2 linked regions of the Mytilus edulis genome follow. The protein of the gene in region 2 purifies or fractionates together with the protein of the main gene of each other region. This does not show direct contact. Links are inferred from orthologs where the notes say so. Each region holds a gene or a part of one and is shown on either strand. Other genes may lie near its edges. The genes, in order: dihydrolipoyllysine-residue acetyltransferase component of pyruvate dehydrogenase complex-like; pyruvate dehydrogenase E1 component subunit beta, mitochondrial-like.

What was found.
Region 1: the proteins of pyruvate dehydrogenase E1 component subunit beta, mitochondrial-like (region 2) and dihydrolipoyllysine-residue acetyltransferase component of pyruvate dehydrogenase complex-like purify together in Homo sapiens (affinity purification with mass spectrometry; 4 studies listed by BioGRID and IntAct, counting the BioPlex papers as one, with this or other methods). This does not show direct contact. The link is inferred for Mytilus edulis from reciprocal best matches to the Homo sapiens genes PDHB and PDHX.

The regions. Positions count from the first base shown.
Region 1 is NC_092350.1:78,627,613-78,640,028, reverse strand, and holds the start of dihydrolipoyllysine-residue acetyltransferase component of pyruvate dehydrogenase complex-like, read right to left. Parts: upstream 4,456-12,416; 5' UTR 4,364-4,455; coding exon 4,225-4,363; intron 1-4,224.
Region 2 is NC_092344.1:86,488,936-86,501,148, forward strand, and holds the start of pyruvate dehydrogenase E1 component subunit beta, mitochondrial-like, read left to right. Parts: upstream 1-6,978; 5' UTR 6,979-7,071; coding exon 7,072-7,104; intron 7,105-10,953; coding exon 10,954-11,016; intron 11,017-11,764; coding exon 11,765-11,872; intron 11,873-12,213. UniProt on the Homo sapiens protein: The pyruvate dehydrogenase complex catalyzes the overall conversion of pyruvate to acetyl-CoA and CO(2), and thereby links the glycolytic pathway to the tricarboxylic cycle.

The sequences.
Region 1 (12,416 bases), on a different chromosome or scaffold from region 2:
CCACTAGCATATACTCCGCGGTATGAAGAACTCGTGACGAGGGTTTCATATGAAATAAAATTTAAAAAATAAAATCCTCCCACCCGCCTCATTTTTTTCAAAAATTTGGATGAAAATCTACTAATTAATTTTAGTTGGCCTAAAGTTATGGTGCAAAAACCAAAAATAATGCTTATTTGGGCCCCTTTTTGGCCCCTAATTCATAAACTGTTGTGACCTCAACTCCAAAAATCAATCCCAACCTTCCTTTTGTGGTCATAAACCTTGTGTTAAAATTTCATTGATTTCTATTTACTTATACTAAAGTTATTGTGCGAAAACCAAGAATAATGCTTATTTGGGCCCTTTTTTGGCCCTTAATTCCTAAACTGTTGGAACCAAAACTCCCAAAATCAATCCCAACCTTCCTTTTGTGGTCATAAACCTTGTGTCAAAATTTCATAGATTTCTATTCACTTAAACTAAAGTTATTGTGCGAAAACCAAGAATAATGCTTATTTGGGCCCTTTTTGGCCCCTAATTCATAAACTGTTGTGACCTCAACTCCAAAAATCAATCCCAACCTTCCTTTTGTGGTCATAAACCTTGTGTTAAAATTTCATTGATTTCTATTTACTTATACTAAAGTTATTGTGCGAAAACCAAGAATAATGCTTATTTGGGCCCTTTTTTGGCCCTTATTCCTAAACTGTTGGGACCAAAACTCCCAAAATCAAACCCAACCTTCCTTTTATGGTCATAAACCTTGTGTTTAAATTTCATAGATTTCTATTTACTTATACTAAAGTTATGGTGCGAAAACCAAGAATAATGCTTATTTGGGCCCTTTTTTGGCCCTTAATTCCTAAACTGTTGGAACCAAAACTCCCAAAATCAATCCCAACCTTCCTTTTGTGGTCATAAACCTTGTGTCAAAATTTCATAGATTTCTATTCACTTAAACTAAAGTTATAGTGCGAAAACCAAGAAAATGCTTATTTGGGCCCTTTTTGGCCCCTAATTCCTAAAATGTTGGGACCAAAACTCCCAAAATCAATCCCAACCTTCCTTTTGTGGTCATAAACCTTGTGTTAAAATTTCCTTGATTTCTATTCACTTTTACTAAAGTTAGAGTGCGAAAACTAAAAGTATTCGGACGACGACGACGACGACGACGACGACGCCAACGTGATAGCAATATACGACCAAAAAATTAAAATTTTTGCGGTCGTATAAAAATTGACTATAAAGGGTAATACATGTAACTCCTAAAGGGTTCAACTGACCATTTCGTTCATGGTGACTTATTCGTAAATCTTACTTTGCTGAACATTATTGCTGTTTACAGTTTATCTCTATCTATAATAATATTCAAGATAACCCAAAACAGCAAAATTTCCTTAAAATTACCAATTCAGGGGCAGCAACCCAACAACGGGTTGTCCAATTCATCTGAAAAATTCAGGGCAGATAGATCTTGACCTGATAAACAATTTTACCAGACGTAAAGTGATGAGAAAAGCTCACTTGGCCCTTCGGGCCATGTGAGCTTAAAAGTGTCGGATTCAAATGATATGAATATTACATGAATGATGCAAACCAATATAAATTTGCATTTATGCATTACAATACATGTATCTTTCATGTTTCTTGTGCAGTTAAGTGCCACTTTTCCCTTTCTTTTTCTTAGATTTTAAACGACTTCATGTACTTTTTCCAAAAAACTTATTTTCTTCCTGTTATATTTAAACAATATTAATATTTTAAGCCCTTCAATGAGACATCGCATAACACAAAACAAAACAATGGTAAAATTGCGAGATCAACATTTGCATGAAAAGTTTAAATATTAAATGTCCAAAATCAGTGTTGTCCTATTGGCAAGAAGCTGACAGATACGCTAAGGATGGCAGAGATGGATTCAGTTTTATTCTATTATGATAACTTTACTTTGTCGCTCAAAACCACTGGCAAATGTGTATAGGATATCATATAAAGCACCAGCACTTGTATCCGACGTTAAATTGTAAATTCATTTACCGTAGACAACTTCAGAGGAGATACATCAGATACAAAGAAATGCGATGGATGCGATTTGCAGCACTGTCAGTGTCCTTCCTGAAATGTTGTGCAGAGTGTTAAAAAACTGTACTTGTCAAGAAAGGAGCAAATTTAGTGTTGAAGAGTTTCTACAAACACCCAGAGATTGAAATTGCAATCTTTCTTGAACTGTCTTATCTAACAACTTGCTATATTATTCTTTGTAACAACTCGATTTTTGCAATACAAATATTGCCTCGCCAGAAAACATTTGGCTCGCTCACCCCCATTGTATGAACTCGTATTTTGAAAGGTATTTATCTACTCATCCGCTCTCACAACTAGAAATTCATAACTGCTGAATCTTAACAATTTGGACAAGAAAACTTTTGGTGAATGAGAATTGGCTTGCTCACTGTTGTATGAATATGTACTTGGAAAATCATGTATTGCCACGCTCTCTCTCACATTGATGCACTCTCATGAAACATTGCAACTTCATACCGTTAGCAGCTAGTAGATTTCATGAATGTTCAAACTCGTATTTCGAAAGACATCGCATCGCCCGTACAATTGACTAGAGAACAATCATTTGGTGAATTTGGCTCGCACACCCCTGTTACATGAACTCATATTTCCAAAGACATTCATAACCTCGCCCGCTCTCACAACTCGCCCATGATTTCTGTTGGTGCTCAATTAACAACTTGGAGTAGAGAACTTTTTGTGAAGGATATTTGGTTTGTCCCCCCCCCCCCTTTTATGTGAACTCGCGAACTCACATTTGATAATCAAAATTTGACAGTTCTGTTATGGAATTGTAGCGACATACTAGATTTCACCGAAGATTGATTAACTAGCCCACAAGAATTATTGGGTATGAACTGACTCTCTTAATAAATAAGTTATACCTATAATTTATGTTTAAACATATTTTTTACTAATCTGTTGATACATTATAACTGTATTTTGGACATGTTCTTATACTTAACAGGTTTTTTTCTTGGGGGGGGGGGGGGTGGGGGAGGGGCATACAGAATTTATCATCTTAAAAAAAAAAAGAACCCATGATATTTTTCTATCTTTATGTTTTTTGCCGATTGCTCTCTATTTTGTAAACCCCATTCGAATTCTCTCAACACTTTTTAAGGATACATTTATAATTGCATGACACTATTACAGTAATTGGTCATGTTTTCGTACGTTGTACAATACTGATTATAAATATTATCAAATTTGTTTCGTTCACGAAATCCCTAAAACAAAGAATCGGCACATATATTTGCAATAAAATGGCATGAAAAAATTGTTTGTCAACTGAGGATAAACGCATGATAAAAGTGATGGATTAGGAACATTATTTTAAACTATATATTAATGGGGTAAGAAGTTACTTTCATTCATATTTAGGTTGTTCCTAATAATTTTATTTGTTTTGGCAGTGGATTATTAATTTAAATTTTTGCTACGAGAAAAAAAGACAGATTTTATAAGACTGCGGTTCAACATTGATAGTATTAGTAAAAAAAAAATATCCGATAAAAAACGTTGAATGTAAATGATATGAACATGCCGAGTCTTTATATTATAGGACTAGGATATGTGAAAGTCGTTTTTACTTTCCATTAGAATCCTTCCTGCTTTGATACTGATACTGTGATAGACATGATTATATTGCTTTTCCCGGCTGACCTGAGAATCTGTCCCACTTGAACTATTGACGTCTTACAACAATCACTTTTTCATTGTGGCTTCAGATATATTATATTGTGACATCAAAATTTTAAGGGAACCTGTGCTATGTAATGGCGGACAAATAGGGCTATGGATGGTGTTTTGCCACTATTGATGTAGGTCTAGTGGTACCTTGCGAGCTAGTACATACTGGCTTGACCTTTTTCAAAACGGGGGCTATTCCACATCATTTCCAGCTTTGTACTGAATTACACTTTCGTTATTTTTTAACATAAATAAATCATTCAAAATCAGTATCACATGTCAGACAGTTAAATGACTTAATACTTAACTGAGAACTGTCAAGCACAGGGGCTTGTTACAATTGCCGGGTTTACTATCCATACGAACCCCTAATTTTTAGGGGTTCGTATGGATAGTAAACCCGGCAATTGTAACAAGCCCCTGTGTGTCAAGGGCAAATCTGACACTAACTTTAACATGTTGATAAATATACTTATAAAAAATCACCTTGGTCTGCACATTTTGTAAACAATGTTCTTGCTATATAGTGCCCATTTTCTGTTATTTTATTAGGTTCCTTCAGGCCTGTTGACAATAAATGTTTAGAAAATCGTCTGCCAAATCTGACAATGCCAGAAGCAGCCATAGTCTTGTCAAAGTAGAGTTTAGTAAACTCATATAGTGTTCCTTTTTCTCAAACGCATAAATGACTATAACTTCAACGGAATGGAATATGACAACTCGCCCCATTTAAAAAAAGCGTCACTTCAAGTTCCCGATTATTCATAATCCCCGTTAAAGTTAGAACAGACCCGAGACACACCAATGACGCTAGAATAAAAAAGATGAAAAAAAATCGAAGTTGAAAAGTTTATTGAAATTCCGAAAGGTTATGCAAAATAATTTTGTGTAACAATATTCATAGGTACTTAGGAACAGGTCTGGATCATTTGTATTATAAGAACATACATATAATACAAATAACTTCTATTTGCTATTTACTATCAATTCCAAGTCTACTTTTCACAGAGTTCACTGATCTTTTTACGTCCAAGATTATAATACCGAAAAACGCCGAAAATAATATTGAAATGAAAACAAAATATTAACCGATTTTGGGAAAAAGGAGGAAGGCAAAAACAAATGGTCCTTTCCACATGTACCTATGAAATAAACAAAGGACTACTAGCCGTGAGTAACTCGTACCAGCTCCAGACCTCAATTAAAATGATTGAACGCCGATTATGTCTTCATAACATGAAAATCAAGCGTGCCACAATCCCTCCCGTTAACTTATGGGTTTAGTATCATGCCATTATCAAATGTTATATGAGAATAAACCAGATGAACGTCCTTCCAGGAATAACAACGAAAAAGCATTCAGAATACTATCATTCAAAACAACAGTTCGGAAGGAGTCGTTCTATCCTAGAACAATAAAGGGTGGAACACCTTGCCCAACTGTAAAGTCTCAGCCCCGATTCCGGAATCTTTCAAGGCTCAGCTCCGTCAGTAAATTAAATTGACGTGTTTTTATTTGCAACTGACGTGTACATATAAATTTCACCTAGTTTTTGTTTTTGTTAAATTAAAAATTTATTCATGCGCACACTCAATAAATGTGGCAGGATAGTCAACCAGTTGATGGTGGCCGCTTACTGAAAGAAGAAGAAGAACATATCCCGTATCATGATAACAGCTGGTTTCAGAATGCAAAGACCCTTGGTGTATGAATCAATATTAATACCAGATATACCATCTTTAACGACCTGACAACAGTATTGTAACTATCTCCCTTCTGGATACAAAAAAGATAGAGAAAATTCAAAAGAGAGCACTAAGGTTCATCTATGAAGACCATTCAGCAAGTTATGAAGATCTACTTTGCAAATCAAAATTACCATCTTTAAAAATAAGAAGAATGCGATCTTTGGCGATTGGAGTTTTCAAAATTATAAATAAAGATTGTCCTGTATATCTCCATGATTTGATTCACTTAAAGGAAAACACTTACTCTTTCAGATACCAGAATACAGCAGATCTACCACATGTAAGAACAACTGCATATGGCCTACAATCTTTCAGGTATGCGGGTGCTAGGCTTTGGAATGAGCTGCCAGATGAGCTTCGTAAGCAATCATCTTTAAAGCAATTCAAGAACTTGATAAATTCTTGGTCTGGCAGCTCATGCCAATGCTTTGCCTGCAAAAACAGTTAATCTCTGTTCATATTTTTTGGTTTGTTGCTTTATTTTCAGCATGGCAAATTTATTTTGTTATCTTTACTATAGTGCTTCTGTTGCTTTGTGCTAATTTTAGAAACTTTATGTGCTTTTAATGTGCTTTCTATGTGCAAACCATTTTATTTGTGCTTTTGTTTTTTATCTCATAATTGCATGTATCAGTATGTGTTTAACTTATAAGATGCTTAACGAACTTTTGTGCTGCATGGTTATATACTGATATGAACTCTTGCCTTATATGTTTAATGTTGTGTGCATGACTCGATATGTATGTTTTGTTTTACTTGTTGGTATGTCGGTTTCAAAAGCTCTTCAGAGCTTATGTTTGTAATTGCTTGCCTATACCGACTCTAAATAAAGCTTTATGTCTTATGTCTTATGTCTGGATAAGTCTGCTTATCGGTTTGGTTATAGCTTTTGAGTTGAATGTTGACCATGCCAAGAAATTGCCTCCGTTGAAATTCTGCAAATATCCCATAGAGCAAATTACATGCATGATAAATATTGACCATTTGGTATATGCGGCGTTTTGCATTTGCGCCGATTTGCATTTCATTTGCGCCATAGAGCAAATTACATGCATGATAAATATTGACCATTTGGTATATGCGGCGTTTTGCATTTGCGCCGATCTGCATTTCATTTGCGCCGATTTTTTCTTTCATTTGCGCCGATTTTTTTTCTTCATTTGCGCCGATTTTTTTTACAGGTAAATTACAGGTGAATATATATTAAAAAAATGTGGTATGAGTGCCAATGAGACAACTCTCCATCCAAGTCATGTTATTTTTCATTCATCATTATAGACCTCTTCCGTTAGCCACCTGTACAAATGTAATGAATTGTCAATCATAACATGTATATAACTGTTGTCCCCTGCTTACCATCGGGAGGTGGAAGAGGACCTACAAGATACATGTCCAGACTTTGTCCTTGACCGTACCCGTAGTTCTTAAGCCTCTGTCTTTCGGTCAACTGCCACATGGTTATGCTCGTTCTGTTCTATTTTGACAATAGTCAGACCATCATAATCCGTGGTGACTCTGGCTTTACACGATTTTTATGCTACTTTGTAAAATACGTTGCTTTGTTTCAGGACACTGACCTTCCGATGATCAAAGAATTGACTCTTTGGTGAGTGTCAGTGAGCATATGTCCATCATGTTACAACGAAGTTTCAGAACAATATGAATCAAAAATAACTTAAAAATAAGTGAACAAAATTTATAACCAGATTTTACCAATGGTATAGTACATGTACAACTATTAATTTACCTGTAAATCTAATTAGGAGCAAATATAAAATCGGAGCAAATGAAAGAATGAAAATTTAAAAAATCGGCGCAAATGTCATACGCCCGGTATATGGCCGTGTTGCAATTAGCGACACGTACATTAAGGTAATAAATTAGTTTGTTGAATGAAATCAAATCTTTAAATACTTATGGGTGCCGTAGGAGGTCCACAGGAATTTTTAGCTAGGATTTCTTAGAATGTTTTTGTTTTATTCAAACATCACACATAATGTTCTTGCATAAGGCGAAAAAGATAATCCTGAAAGCCTTTTTGATGACAAATTATGAAGGGGAAAATTACGAACTCAGTGTAAACGGGGACATTTTGACAGTTTTTTAACCTGCGTTTATTAATGCTTCAGACAAAAGATTTCATTATGAATTTATTTTGTAGATGTATCATTATTTACGATATAGTTCCACCATCCATATCGAATCATAGAAAAATAAGGTGCAATTTGGGTACCGGCCGTGACGTTATGTATTGTTCACAGTTGACACATTGTTGTCTTATTTGAAAGGTAACAGGTTGTCTTTGCTTCTCTGTTCGTTTTCTCTCCTATATAAAAAGCATCCCTGCGCAGTATATATAAAACAGAGAAACTGGTTTCAGTTTGCGAAAAATAATAGAATAACATATGTTTAGAGTATTTATTCTCTTTATACAAATTCTTTCTCTGTATGCTTGAAATATTTGTCACTGGACGTTACACAATCAATCAATCTTTTAATCGGTAAATTTCCTTTAGTTATAAAACAACGAAATTTAAAAAATCGGTACAACTTTAAAAAAAATGTTTATTATCACCCCCTCGAAACAGACAATACATCTATCTAAAAGGTTTTTCGGCTAGCTATCCACCGAAAATTTCCTGGAAAGAACACTGGTTACAATTGACTCTTTCGTGTTTGTAAACTTCATTGTGAATTTACAGTGACAAATACATTTTCTTACAATTGTTTTGAATGTATATCCTATGTAGCTACATTTTGTACAAGACGAGACTTGCGTCTGGTATACCAAAATTATATCTACAACATACTCAAAGTTGTTCCTTTTTCTGCGACACAATACCAGTTAACATTGCTTATTTCGTGAATAAGTCTTTAATATATGAGGCCCCTCATGGGGGGGGGGGGGTCCTAGTAATCACATAATCACCATTTTTTTGCCAATATAATCACATAATCATTAAATATTTGCTTATCTTTAGTAATCAAATAATCATAAACTAAAAATACAGTCCTAGGTAATCAAATAATCATGAAATATTTGGCTTAATAATCAAATAATCATTAAAAAAACGGCCAAGTAATCACATAATCAAAAACCCCATGAGGGCCCTCATATATGATTCATTATGTTTACACCCCATTGGTTACTGGGGGTAGAAGTATGGTCACTTGGTCTCCTTCCGACTAGCAGTAAAACGCTTGTCAAAGTGGGAGTGTCCGTTTGGCTGTGTGTGATGTATCAAATTTGCATCCACGTCCGGTCACAATGGGGAAGTTTAATCTGATGGCTCGTGTAGAGTGCCACGTTCATTGCGCGTTAAGAACCTATGCAACAAGTCTTTAGGGGTCCGTAGGTGGCCTGTTGCAAGGCAAAATTTCTGTCCCTATCTAATATACCCTCATTTTCCAGTGGCAGTCCAAATTTTCCCGACCATCGTCCCGGATGGCCTCTATTACAAACCTACCTATTGTATTTATTGTTAACTTGTTCTCGTCCTGAACATGCATGTAATATTTGACACTAGACGTTAAGCAACCAACAATCAATTAATCAATTCATTATGTTACAGTTTTAAATACTAAGTAACACTTTTTAGGGAGCTACCATTTGATTTTTATGGGGGGGGGGGGGCTAGGATGAAAAATGTTGTCCTGCAATTTTTTTTAGTTGTAATCTCTGTCCTGTCTTTTTATTTTTCACTCTATTTGGTCCTGCCTTTTTTTTTTTTTAGTTTATCCTGACTTTTTTTACCTAAATTGTCATCCTGACTTTTTTTTTGCAAGTTTCTCATCCTGCCTTTTTTTTACTCAAAATTCCTGTCCTGCCTATTTTTTTCAAATTTCATCCTAGCCCCCCCCCCCCCCCCCCCCCCCCCCCATAAAAATCAAATGGTAGCTGCCTTATGGAGACTTTTATTAGTGATTAGACTTGACAATCGGGCATCAATATTTCTACACACCTGGCACATCTTTCTATACCAATTGTGCAATAAGTCCATTTCTGCCAAACTTCGTGCATTGCTTTCCCGCTGAAACTAAACATTTGATGGCTTAAAGCCACCTTTTTTTTTGAATTGTAAATATTATTTTCTTCACATTTTGGCAAAAAGTCACTGGCAACATTTTGAGATACTGAGCCTGGAAAGCAAACGTCTTTAATAACATTTTCTTGAATACAATTGTCCTGTATATGAGTCCATGTTGGACATTCATTTATAATTGGACAGCCAGTCTAATTGGGTAAAATTGGAAAAAAAAACATGGAATATTAAAAGCAACTAGTTATAACTAACATACATCCTTGGTTAAAGAATTCACTGTGTTTAATTAAATAACATACATAGTCTTTCATTCGCTGAACTCTAGACGAGGAATATTTGCCCTATCAAGGAAAGGTGGACGAAGAGTTCATTATAAAAAAAGATGAGCCCCAAAGGGTCAGGCCAGGTATTGCTATGATACTTTTGATTAATCATCCAAAAACTATTAAAATTTTAATCTTCAGCAAAATCTTTCTTGCCAACTAAAACCAAAGTTTTATATTTGAAGGTACCTCACTCACAAAATTATTTTGGTGTTTAATAGTTGCAGGGGTCAAATGTATTATGGTTACATGAAAGTGAATATATATGTAGGACTCAAATCTATGTTGGGTTCCAAATCTATGGCCAATGTGATGTCATGCCATCCCTTATCTATGGCAGATTTTTTACAATCCTAATCTATGGCAAGTTTTGTAATTTCCTAATCTATGGGAGATTTAATTACACGTTTTCCAAATCTATTGCAAATGTTGTGCAAATAGAAAATAATGCAGTACCACCAATGATTTGTCTAAAACAAGTGGACATGTACGACAACGGAAGTATGTCTATAAACATTTGTGAAATAAACATTCTATAATAATACGCCCACTCTGACGTTGAGTATTCATACACTAACATGTCTGAACGTTGTTTTGTTAATATAAAAAGTTCTTTGAGCCTTATTTTTGATAGAAATTTATTTATAATGAATGGCAATAATTTATTTTGATTTTATTGAACCATAAAACTAATTTTTGACTCTTCACATTTTACATAATCCGCTTCACAGATTATTCAATGTGAAGAGTCAAAAATTAGTTTTATAATTCAATAAATTCAAAATAGATAATAGCCATTCATTAAATGGTCAACCAAATCGTGATGGTAAAAATAAAATGTAAATGATGAATTAATATACCTTATTACAGACTTCAATATTGAAATGATGTGCCCTGTAAAAATAAACATTTTCTAATCTTTGCATGTTACCTGTTTAACCCATTCTTTAAACCAACTAATTTAGTAAGTCCCTTAACAAACAAGAAGGTTTTAATTTTTATAAAACAGAAATGATAAATAAAAATGAACAGTTTCAATTTTCAAGTAATATTTATTTCTTCGTTATTAAATGCATCTTTTTTTATTTAATGAGGATTTAAATCAAATTGATATCCAGTTTTGTATCTTTCACTTTATAAACTTTGCCAGCTGTAGACTGTAAAATGTTTTCTATAACTCCTTTCTTCAAAAAATTGATGAAACAAGAATGTGTCCATAGTAGACGAATGCCCCACTCGCACTATCATTTTCTATGTTCAGTGGACTGTGAAATTGGGGTCAAAACTTTAATTTGGAATTAAAATTTGAAAGATCATATCATAGGGAACATGTGTACTAAGTTTCAAGTTGATGTAACTTTAACTTCATCAAAAACTACCTTGACCAAAAACTTTAACCTGAACTTCACACTATTATTTTCTATGTTCAGTGGACCATGAAATTGGGGTCAAAACTATAATTTGGCATTAAAATTAGAAAGATCATATCATGGGGAACATGTGTACTAAGTTTAAGTTGATTGGACTTCAACTTCTTCAAAAACTACCTTGACCAAAAACTTTAACCTGAAGAGAACGGACGCACAGACGGACGAACGAACGGACGAACGAACGGAGGCACAGACCAGAAAACATAATGCCCCTCTACTATTGTAGGCATAAAAAGCAGTGCCGTTGTACATCACAGGCTTCGGCACGTACAGCTCATTTCGTCTGCCTTCCTGATACTAGTGATAGGTCACATCTTCCTTGAGACTATCCGGATACTAGTAATAGGTCACATCTTCCTTAAGACTATCCAGATACTAGTAATAGGTCACATCTTCCTAAGACTATCCGGATACTAGTAATAGGTCACATCTTCCTTGAGACTATCCAGATACTAGTAATAGGTCACATCTTCCTAAGACTATCCGGATACTAGTAATAGGTCACATCTTCCTTGAGACTATCCAGATACTAGTAATAGGTCACATCTTCCTAAGACTATCCGGATACTAGTAATAGGTCACATCTTCCTTAAGACTATCCAGATACTAGTAATAGGTCACATCTTCCTAAGACTATCCGGATACTAGTAATAGGTCACATCTTCCTTGAGACTATCCTGATACTAGTGATAGGTCACATCTTCCTTGAGACTATCCCGATACTAGTAACAGGTCACATCTTCCTTGAGACTATCTGTATACTAGTAATAGGTCACATCTTCCTTGAGACTATCCGGATACTAGTAATAGGTCACATCTTCCTTGAGACTATCCGCAAATTGCTGTCAACGGAAATGCCTATATCAGGAAAAGTGTTCAAATCTATGGGTTCCGCCAACGTTTGCGGGGGCGACTATGTAATATGGCGTTATTCAATTGTGACACAATTCAAATATCTGCTATAGATTTGGGGAAAACAAAAATATACCATAGATTTGAGTTGTTTGGCGTTTGTAACTTCACTTTTGCCATAGATTAGGAATCTGCCATAGATTTGGAACCCATAGATTTGAGTCCTACATATATACATCTTGGCACTACTAAATGGCATATTTATTTACAGTTTTCTAGAA
Region 2 (12,213 bases):
ACGACGAAATCGTCAGTCAAAATAATTCATAAACTTTTTTGATTGGCTTATTAATAGGTCGTCAACTCATTTGCATATCTTTATAAATTCATAACTTTTAGTTCACTCACATGTGACCTCAAAGCCGGTTTCGTTAGATCTCCCACGCGACATATCAGAAACAGGATCGATGAGAGATCGGTTTTTAATTAGATTGCTATAATTGCTAATGTGTTTTAAAGTGCTTTGTATGTTGGCATTATTGATTGTTTATGCATGTACTTTTAATAGTTCTGCATAGTTTAACATATTTAATTTATTCGTGTCATCTATATCGTAATGTATGCTTCAATGTAATGATTATTTTTGTGTGTAGATCAGTCTTGTGTGTGTAGCTCAGTCTTGTGTGTGTAGCATGCTTGTTTTGTTTTAAATGTTTTGTTTGTAATTATAAGACGGTATAAAAGCTCAATAGCTTTAGAGCTAATGTTTTCTGTATACTGATTTCGTCTATAAATAAAGCCTTAGAACTTCAAGGGAATTTGGACTTTGACTTTATCTTTTACTCATATGGCATCAGTAAACTTTTCGATGCATATACATGGATTTATCAGAGTTTTAATTTAGTCAAAATGCGTTTATAAAGTGCCAACAATACTGAGTACAATACCTCATCTCTGTTGCATTTTTATGTTGTAGAAGAAGTCACTTTTCGAATTCAAGCAGCATGTAGCTGAACGCTAGAGTAAAATTAATACTAAATCTTTGTGCTCTGACTTGTTTCACAATTTACTATATGGTTTGTAATCAAACAAAAATTTAGTCATTATGATGTTTGAAATATTTAGACACTTTTGTCGTGCATGTTCCTCGACAGTCGTGTTGGTTGCATAAAACGACCTTCCTTAGTTACAGCCACTTTGTTGTGTTCTATTTTATAGAGCATATTTAGCCTAGCGTCTTTTCGCCTTTTTTTCCAGAGATGGTCAATTAATCCAGGTGCTCAATCATTTTGCTGATACTTGAGTGATTATGGTGTATGTTGGAAACATATCTTGCTGCTCGTCTCTGGATCATTTCTAGACGATCTATTTCGGTTTTAAAGTATGGGTCCCATACTTGACTTGCATACTCTATTACTGGTATTGCGAGGCTTTTGTATGCATTTTCTTTGACTGAGGTTGCTCCTATGTTTAGATTTCTCTTAAGGGAGCCTATTGTCTTATTGGCTTTATTGCATATGTTATTGATATGATCATTCCACTTCAGTTCGGATGTGAAGGTGCAACCAAGGTATTTAGCACTTTTGACAGGTTCAAGTTTGTGACCATGCAATATGTACGAAGTTGGAATGGTGTTGTTTTTGCGGCTGATGGTAAGAACATTGCATTTGTCCGGATGGAAGGACATTTTCCATTTGACTTTCCATGTTCCCAGTTTGTCTAGGTCGCTCTGGGGGTCGTTTGAATCTTTGTCAGATGAGATGGTAAGATATGCTATTGTTTCACCAGCAGGATTTGATCCCATCTGGCATGTCGTTGATGTAGAACAAGAATAATGCAGGACCAAGTACAGAGCCTTGGGGAACTCCAGATTCTACATCAATATGTTATGAGCTCTCTCCATCCACTACTACTGCTTGCGTTCGATGGGATCAGAAGCTAGCAATCCATCTATTGGTTTTACCACCGATACCGTAATGTTCTAGTTTGTGAGACTATGATCGACTTTGATAAATGCCTTTGAGAAATCCATTATAAGAACATCTGTCTGTTTACCTGCACTCATATTTTTAGTGATGTCATCCACGAATTCGATTAGTTGGGTTTCACACGAGCGTTTACTACGGAAACCATGTTGTAACGGATAGAGGATTTGATGTTGATCAGCATGTTTCATTATATGACTTGTAACTATATGCTCTATTAGTTTGCAGCAGATACAAGTTAGAGAGATTAGTATATAGTTTTCTGCTTTATATCTTTCTCCATTCTTGAATACTGGTGTTATGTTCGCATTTCTCCAGTCATTTGGTACATCCCCAGTTCTGTTGATGTTTTGAAAATGATTGTAAGGATTGGGGCTATTTCTGTGGCCAGTTCGTTGAGTAGTTTAGGTTTTATATTATCTTGTCACCGGGAAATGATATTTCAACTTAATCTTAGCAAGTTAGGGGACGACCATTTGATATTCTGGGGGGGGGGGGGTGGGGGTGGAGGGGCAGGAGGATTTGTTTTTGATCGGTTATTTATTTTTGTAAACTAAGAGGACATGTTATCTATTTTCTGCACTATTGAAGCAAGATTTTTTATTTTCATTAAAGCAAGGGACTGATTATTTATTTTTACAACTATATTTATAATATTCGAAAACATCCAATTTTTAAATTATTTGTTTATAAATTATAAATAATACATGTATAGTTAAGTCATCATGATGTACCATTTAATCAGAATTAATCATTCTCCTCTGCAGAAATGAATCTTCTATATTCCCAACTGCATATACATGTATTGCTTCCAGACACTATATTGAAGATTGAGTGTATCTAGCCTATTTAAAAAGTATTGGCAAAACATTATAGGCCGAGCGGAGCGAGGCAATTTTTTTTTAAAGGGTTTTTGAGCCACTGAAGGCTTCTGTTTTTTAAACTCATGATCAAGTTAATAACAAAATTACTATATAACAAAAGGAATGCAACACTAACAGAATACAGAAGGGCAATCAATGAACAAAAGACAAATAAATAAGAAACATTGATCCTGAAAAATCAGGGGCTACGTTTTAGGGATAACAGAACTTGCTTCTTGCAAGGCACTCGACGTGAAAACAATTTGATATGGAGACAAGCGTTTGGTTTTGAAATTTTCTACATGAGGCATTTGCCTTAATGTACAAAATGTAGTTACGGCCCTGTTAAAAGTGAGGTATTAAAGTGTTGCTGAGAAAACATACCTCAAGTTAAATGAAGCCAATTTACAGACATTTCAAGTATATTTAAATAATATTTATACTTTTATTATTAAACAATTTAGGCAGTGTTTGACGAAGGCGATTTTTTTTTTAAAAAAGATGAATTTATGATGAATCTGGTGCCAACTCATACTTTCGACTAGACCTGTTGACTTATTTATTTTCAATACATTGCAAGTCAGGTAATTTATTTTCAAACTACCACAGAACAAACCATTTATTTTTGTGATTATCAAGGCTGAGTTATTTATTTTCAAAATCCTCCCCACCCACCCCTAGAATATCAAATGGTCGTCCCCTTAATGCTGAGTTCACACGTTATTCGAATTCGATTCGCATTAACTAATTCGAATTAGTTTAATTCGCATTACGTCCTAACGTCAATTCTAATTTATATTACAATGCGCGTCGAATTCGCTTTACTGTCCAAACGACGTTAACTTTTTATTCGTATTAACAAAAGCGTATTTCTAATGCGAATTGGAATTAGTCAATTCGAATCAATTCGAATTCAAAAAGAAGAGTGTGTGAACGCGATTAGCGAATTCGATTCGCATTCAATTCGAATTAAATGTACGCGTGAACGAAGCATAAGTTATTAACCGACAAATAACATAGGAAATAGGAATACGCAATATAAACACAGCCACCCTACTAGCAAGATTTAGTCAGTAGACCAAGAAAGCACAGGAAAATATAAACGGAAGTTAGAAATCGTTTCCGGGACTTTATTGCAAATAAAAACACGGACGTTTTGACTTACCAGAACATCTGCAACCCCAATCGTAACAGCAAGAACAAAATTAAAGTACATGGAGAAAATTACAAGGAGAATCCACGTAGGTTTTAATATGTATCAATTAGAACCGTTATGCCTAAAGGCCATACGATTGAGGATTGAGGAAGTTCCTTCAAATATACCATTCATGCACGGGAATGAATTTGTGACGTCAAATATGATAGACTGGCTGTATGTATATTTTCTACCTCCATGTGATGAATTTTGATTTTGAATTTTGAATTTGATAGATTTGTTCTTGGCACTGGCTATGGTTACATGGAAGTGTAACAATAATATGAAAAATATCGTTACGATCATAAAGTATCTTGAGTCTGAAAATGATAACACTGTTTCCCCCAGTTTCAACCATAGTTGCTTGAGGACAGGATCCTGTTATGAGCACCCCATATTCCATCCCCCTTATTATCATAAATCTCAGATTTTTTAATATATCACTTATTTGTACCATATATATACTAATATACCATATTTTTACTTTAAATATGCATGTTTACTATCAACGTGAATCTCGACTAGACATTAGTTGATTACTTTCACAATTTTTAAAGGGACACTAGCTACGAGATGTATAAAAATCTAAAGTATGATTTGTTTTTGTTCAATCAATAATAAAAGTGAAATAATAAAATAATTCTCTTTTAGCAGTCAAAATGGAACAATTTTGTCAAATCTAGGAGGTTATATTAGAACATACTAGAACACACCCGTGATATCGCGGGTCCGTGACTGAATTAAAGTATATAACTATGCGCAAGCCTTATTTTAGTATTAGTATTGTCATCTGATAAAGTCATGCCGATTATAAGATACACAGTTTTCTCTGCTTTTAAATCTTTCTGTTTGAACCCGTCGAACTGGAACTTATCAATTATTGATAATATTAATTATTTGGAAAACAAAAGGTCCTGGAATGGAGTATTTTTTAATCAACAGCATTGTCCTATATTAGTTATAAATAAAATTTGACAATTAAGTAGTGTCAACCCTGTGATTATGACCCGTGTAATTACTATATGTGCATATTAATCCTGAATACACCGTTTGGTGGTGCGCCTGTCAGATGTGGAACGTACAGATAAGGTAATCGGTAACAGGTGAATATACTATTGGTATTGGTATCGGTATCGGATTCGACCCGGAACTTCTTAATTATTGGCAATATTAATTACGTGGAAAACAAAAGGGCTTGGAGTGGTGTAATTTTTAATCTACACCTTTGTACTATATTAGTTATATATAAAGTTGAATTCTTTGATTCGTCGTTTTTACGTGATGATGGCTGACAAATTGGACCTCGTAATTTTAGTATTATAGATAACCTCCTTGGTCAAATTAAGCTTAATAATATTGATAATGAAGTATTCACTTGCAAGTGAATAATTACTGAGTCGACCTCATTAAATCCGTATTCATGTGAACTTCAATTTAACCCCTTGACTAGAGATGGACAACGCATGCTTTGTACATGTACTGTTTATTTGAAGGAAAGGAATGTCAACATTGAAAGTGAAACAAATGCAAATCATTTGATGACTGATTCGATCCACTAACAATCTTTCTTCTACATTAAAAAACGAGGAGAAACATACATTTTTATCCTATAAAATAAAATTAAACAGACCTATAAAAATCCAACTGCACGTGTTGGCTTAATATATTTATATCTAATCATTAGTATATTGATAGATCCGTGTTTTACTTGCTCGGATACTAATAATTAATAACTATATTTTTGTAAATATTCTATATTCTTCAAAACTACATATGTACAGTTATACTACAAATCTACAACTCCCAGTATTTATGGCTACACGTGCTGTTCTTTGTCTATAAAGTCATGAATATTTATTAGCTATGTAGGCGTGTCAAAATCGTATCATACGCGATAATGACCAGCCAGTACACTGTAATGATTTCATTAACCAGTATTAAAAAGATAAACATAACAATATTTATGTTACCATATGCTCTGTAAACTGTTTATTTCACACTTTTGATAGTTTGGATAAATGTTTTGCATTGTTATAAATAAAATATGAAAATTTGAGTCAAATTGGTGACCATGAATTGCGTAAATGTAGATCTAGAGTGGGGTGCTCATTTTCGCCACATCTTTCCATGTTTTCTACAGTTTATGTTCAGGTCTAAATGTTTTTGAAGTATACTGATATTTCTATATGAAGATAACTTCAAATGCAAAATATACTTAAGCTTGAAAACCGGTTTGTTTTAAGAAAATCATCTGAAAAGTTAGATTAAAGGGTGTTTGAAATTTCCGGATGTTTTGTCAATGGGGGACACATATTCGCCGTTTTTACACATCTATTTAAAACCAAATAACCGCAGCTTTTAACAATTTTTATCAAATCAATTGCATTATAGATGAATAGCAGACATTTCAAAGGTATAAAAAATTCAAAATTAGGGCATTCAGTCAAATATTTACTTAGAAATACTTCTTTGAAATCGTTTTTTATTCAGGAAATTGTCAGAAAATCGTTGTCCGTTTTTTCGGTCATTTTCGGTAGGACCCGCAATTTTGTCTCAGTTTAAAAAAATATTATATTTGTTATAAAAATATAATTTACGGGTACATTTCTTCCATTTCAGCCATCCTTTGAAGGTTTTACACCTCAAAATCCTTAAACGGCGAAATTGTGTCCCCGGCGAAAATGAGCACCCCACTCTAACAGTAACACACGGTTTTATCCAAAAATCTACTTTTTTCAATATAGCAGTTTTTTTGTAGTCATGCGGGTCTAGATGTGGGGGGGGGGGGGGGGGGGGGGGGGGGGTCTGTTATTCTGTAAACATTAAATTTTCACCCCTTATTTCTCTAATCTTTAAAAAATTAAACCCTTTTTTCTCTAATCTTCAAAAAATTAACGCCTTTTGTCTCTAATCTTCAATTTTTTTGCCGGTTATTCTCTAGCTAAAAAAATCTTCATTTTTTAAGGGCATTATTCTTTAATCATTTTACAACATTTAACCCCATCCAAACCCTCAGTTATATCTTCATTTCATTTAAATCTGGGAAAAGCTTAATTATCAAGGGTAAGAGACCATATTTTGGAAATTTAAAAGGGGGCAGAAACATAAAATCATGCTGCAGTCTTCCCATAAATTATTTAATTATAGAATATCAAACTAGGCTGACTGTATTTTATATTATGCGCCCTCTATCGGCTGATAGCTCTTCGATGAGCGATGGGAGATTGGTGGAAAACAACGGTTGAAAATATTCTGGTTAGGTATTTAGACGAATCCAGATTTTTTTTCTTCAGTGGAACATCGCGTGAAGGTTACTGTGATCCAATATGGCATCCGCTGTAGTTCAACGAATTGTGCGAGTATGTTTAATGAGTAGAAAATGTATCTTGGGCTGACGAAATGCTAGAAAAATTGATCAAACATTTCGGTCAGGGAAGATACTTGTTGGTTTCATTCTGAAGGTGTCTGGGTGTTTTCAGAAACATACATTTACAGTGAACTCGTCGTTATTTTCACTTTGACACTTTTCCGACCGTTTCTACTAAACACAAAATGAAATACCACACTCTAGTGTTGATAAAATGTGAAAAATAGTCAGATGAAATAGATTGATCATGTGTGATGATACTGATAGAAAAGATCTGTAACTATAGTTGCCATCAGCTGAAATTTGTAGCAGTTATTGGTAAAAAAAAATCTAAACTATCAATCGCGTTCACTCGTAGATATCCTCTTTATATAAATTTGCTAACACATATGTTTATGTATTGGCATAGACTAGAGAAATTTCCATCTAATTTATTGAAAAATGCTTATGCTGAGTAAAAAAATGATGGAAAGTAAAGGTCAAACTAGTTCCAATAATTCATGGCTCTCTAATATCATTTTCTACAGTGAAAAATTGGATATTGACCTAAATATATGTAAAAATCTAGGAAAAAATTAATTTAAAAACTTACAGTGCAGTCCGGTGTATCCGCACACATAAGACTTATGACTTCACTTCATTCAACTGATAAAACCAATAATTGGATAATTTTGTGTGAACACATTCATAATATACTTTTATTTCATAAAATCTTCTGTTTGTATGGTTTCATCCTCTAGATTTTGTGTAATGTGTGTCCAAAATTAAGGAAACCCCTGTTCTGAGAGTTCCTCCAATGTCCGGTGATTTCGCACATGCCTTCCAAAAATAGCTTATTTGGAATAAAGGAAAGATTTTACACTACAAAATATAGCTGAGTTTGTACCAAACACACTTCCAAGGATGCAGAGCAAAAATTATTTCAATCTGATATTAATTTGAATTAAATAAAACCAATTTTATCTGATGATGTAATTTTTTTAATGGAAATTGGCCAAATATGGTAAATCACAGGATTTCAGTTATTAATTAATTCTTGAACTTATCAATTTTATTCTTTTTTATCCCTTCGGAAGGCTAAAACATTAACAAGAACGATTTTGTATGTGTTACTGTGTTGATATGACGAAATCAGCTAATGCGCGATAACACGGGCCGCGCGGACACCGGGGACTCCACTGTATTGAAAAAACAGCTCAAATTAAATTTTCAAAATGATTGGGAGAAAATGCGAGATTTTTATTTACAGAATCAAGGCAAATTGGACACTTATTTTTCATTCAAAAGGTCATTTGACTATGAAAATTATTTAGATTTAAAGCACCCACAAAAACATTTGTTAACAAAATACAGACTTAGCAATCACTGTTTAAGAATAGAAACTGGCAGACATGAACGAATTACCAATGTATGTGGTAAATATGAAATATTACCTCGACATGAGAGGATATGTTTATATTGTAATACAAATTGTATTGAAAATGAAATGCACTTTCTTCTGGAATGCCCAATTTACAATAACCTCAGAAGAGATATCACTGATTATATAAAAAAATACCCCAGTTTAGATAGTTTAAATATAAATGATCTTTTTTCATGGATCATGATTAATGAAGATAGCTGATTTTTATCTATTTTATGTGCATACCTGGATAAAGGCCTGCAACTAAGAAAATCAGAAAATTAGTTAAATACTCTAAAATATATCATAATTATCTCCCCTTGACCACTGATCCTTTCTTCATGCATTTGAATTTCAATTATTATTTTATGTTTCTTTAATCACTCTGTAATGTTTATGTCATGTTGTAATTAATGTTATGCTCTTAATGGGCCCTTTAATTTGGAAAATAAAAAAAATATTGTAATTGTAATAAATCGTCAAAAGAAAAACCACTACTGACCTACCTTATAAGTGATCACACTGTAATAATCCTGACCTTCACATTTTCCAGAATGTTTTTCATTGTAATTCCGCCATCTTCGTTCTATGAGGATAATCCTTTGATTACATGTGAAATTCGTCACTTTCGGAGTTTCCTGTAATATTCATTTCATTGATGTGACAACATTTCCCGCGCTTTATGCAAATTTTCAGAACTTGAACTCCACAGAAACAATTCCTGTAAAACAATGCCTGATTCCACCATTCAAAATCGTCTTGGAAAATGTGAAGGTCAGGATTATCACAGTGCAATCACTTAAAAGGTAGGTCAGTAGTGGTTTTTCTTTTGGCGATTCATGAATGGAATGTGAAAAACTATATCATGAGTAAACGTGGTTGATAGTTTAGATTATTTTTACCGATAACCGCTACAAATTTCAGCTGACGGCAACTTTATGCATTATACTGCTTGCTGTAACACTTACAGTTACAACATTTATAATTGTTTTTACATGCTCACTGTAATCAGTTTAAACAGTTACATTTATGATTCAAAAGCTAATTAACATGCTGTCTGTATTATCGTAACAAAACTATGATTACTCACTTAATTTATTATGTCCTAGCTTTGATTCAAGGGCACATTATTTAATGTTAGGTGTCAAATAGTCATTTTCGACTACTGTTAGCGTCAAATGGATTAAAATTTTACTGTGATTCGTCAAAATATCCTTATCGTGATTTGTCAGAGGTCCCAAATAATTATCATTGCCATTATTTTTGGAATCAATAAATGTGATTCGTCAAAATCATTCGATTTTTTTTATCGTCTAATTACAGGGTTTGAAATTAGCAGGGGCCTGCTCGCCAATGGCCCTAATATTTGGTGTGGGCTACTTAAATTTCTGCTTATCTTGTATAGGACTGTATATCAGGGCTACAAAATTTAAGCTGTGGGCTACAATTACCAAAGTCTCAAGTTCAATCCCTGAAATAAAAGTACATATTACCGTCATGCACCAAAAATTATCGTTAACATCAATTGGCAAGAATTTTTACCATTATTCGTCATGAAGGTACCCCATTACTACCCTCATAAAAATGCATTAGTACCATATCTTTTTTGAAAAGGGGATTGGTCCATTGGTAATAAGCTTTAGATAACTCTTACAACGAAAGGTCAACTTGTAACACTACAAAGTGGTACAGATGAAAACTTGTACGATAAAAAAAATTATGCAATATCCAGATTGTTTTGTGTAATATACAGCATTTATACATGAGAAACTTCTGATGCCACAGATGGCTGTACCATAACAACATGCACTTCTCTATGAAAAATCTACATGGACATGAAATAATCAACAAAAAGATGTATGACATGCTTATTTCTGTTATCAGAACCTTTTGTAGCAGGCTTCCAAGTAGGCCAACTGTAAATTCATGAAATTATTTCGTCTTCTTACTGGGAAATGGCAAATTTTGGCAATTTGTGAAATGACACTCTACTGTGAATTTCATTATCTGTCTTTTCCAATTATACTTACATATATATGCTTGTTTCCTGCACAAACTGACACCAAGTTTTATGCAAAACCTTAAGTATTTTATTGCATTGCAAAAAAATCATTCAAAAAGTAAGTTTTGAGAGCTTTCTTATTTGACTACAAATCCAATTTCTGCTGGAGTGATTTCTCAAATTTTTTATAAGAAGATGTATGCAAATTGAGTGTAGAACTTGTCAAACATTGAAAATCATAAACCTATCATCATGCAATTGCATGTTCAAATTACCTCATGTATATATACAAAAATGTATCAGCGTAAAATTTTTCTGAATTTTTTTAACATGCAAAAGTGTATATTTTTTGGCCAAAGGACCATTGTGTAGGTTGGCTTTGAAAAAAATAAACAGTATTTTAATTTGGGTCTGAGCATTTTGATTTACAATTACAGAAAGTGCCATTGAAAAGTTTCAATAAACAGTTTTCCACAACGACAGTTAGAGCTGGATCTCAGGTAAATTTACATTAAGTCATTTGTGTAGAACAGTCTTCATGAAAAACTTTTAAATCAGCAGGCACAGAGCTCAAATTTGGGAAAGTTCAGTTAGATTCTGTTAGCTTAACTTGTAGAGATGATTTTTACGGACCTCAAAGTCAAAGCAATTTTACATGTCTGGGCTGCTGGGTCTGTGGCTAAGCGTGTCAGAAGAGTGGTAGAATAGTATATTTTAAATCCAAATTAGAAAATAAACCCAGCAGTGGTCTTACATCCATCACACATCAGCTTCCTTTTTACCACATATGTTTAGCAGGGGTTACTTTTTTATTAACAAAACCATGAACAAAAAGAAATAGGATATACAAATGTACAGCAACAAAAGACAACCACCAAATTACAGACTCCTAACATGTTTGTAAGCCCTAACCCACACCGCTAATCTTGGACAGTGGTGACGCAGCTCAACATTACTATAAAAATCAGTTGAAAAGAGCTTTAACTCATTAGAATAATACAAAGCACAAAAGAATAAAGACGTTGTCACTCAAACAAAAGATTTGAGAGTAATTGGCGTTACTGAAAGCTATTTGAAAGCCAATAATAACTATTAAAAAAATCATCTATCTAAAACTAAGTTATCATTCAGTTCACATCCAATGTTTGCCTGTCATTGACTGACCTTTGTCTGTGCCAAAATTTTAATTAATAATATCTAATTTTAGCACATTCAATTACAAATAAATCTAAATGATTGTTTTTACAGTTAACTGTCAGGGATGCCTTGAATGCTGCTATAGATGAAGAAATCAAAAGAGATGATAAAGTTTTTCTATTGGGAGAGGAAGTTGCATTGTATGATGGTGCCTACAAGGTTCTTAATATATTCTCACAAAATTGAAATCAGTTTGAACCATTGAAAACTTGCTAATTCAAAATACAATGATATATAAATTAAATGCTTTAATTTTTCCTTGAAAAGTCCTTGTTGTTCCTGATTGAACAGTTATCCTTCATCAATATTATTATGGATAATTGGAATAAATTCTATAGTGTTATAATATTAAATAGAAACTTTCTTGTAATGTTGAGAACTTCTTTGTAAAACATGTGAAAGAAAAGATTATTAGCAGGATAATGGCCTTAGCTGTAAATATCTACACGGCTACTTAAATGTTCTTCTATGTTCCAGTTATTAAAGCTTTATGTTCTACG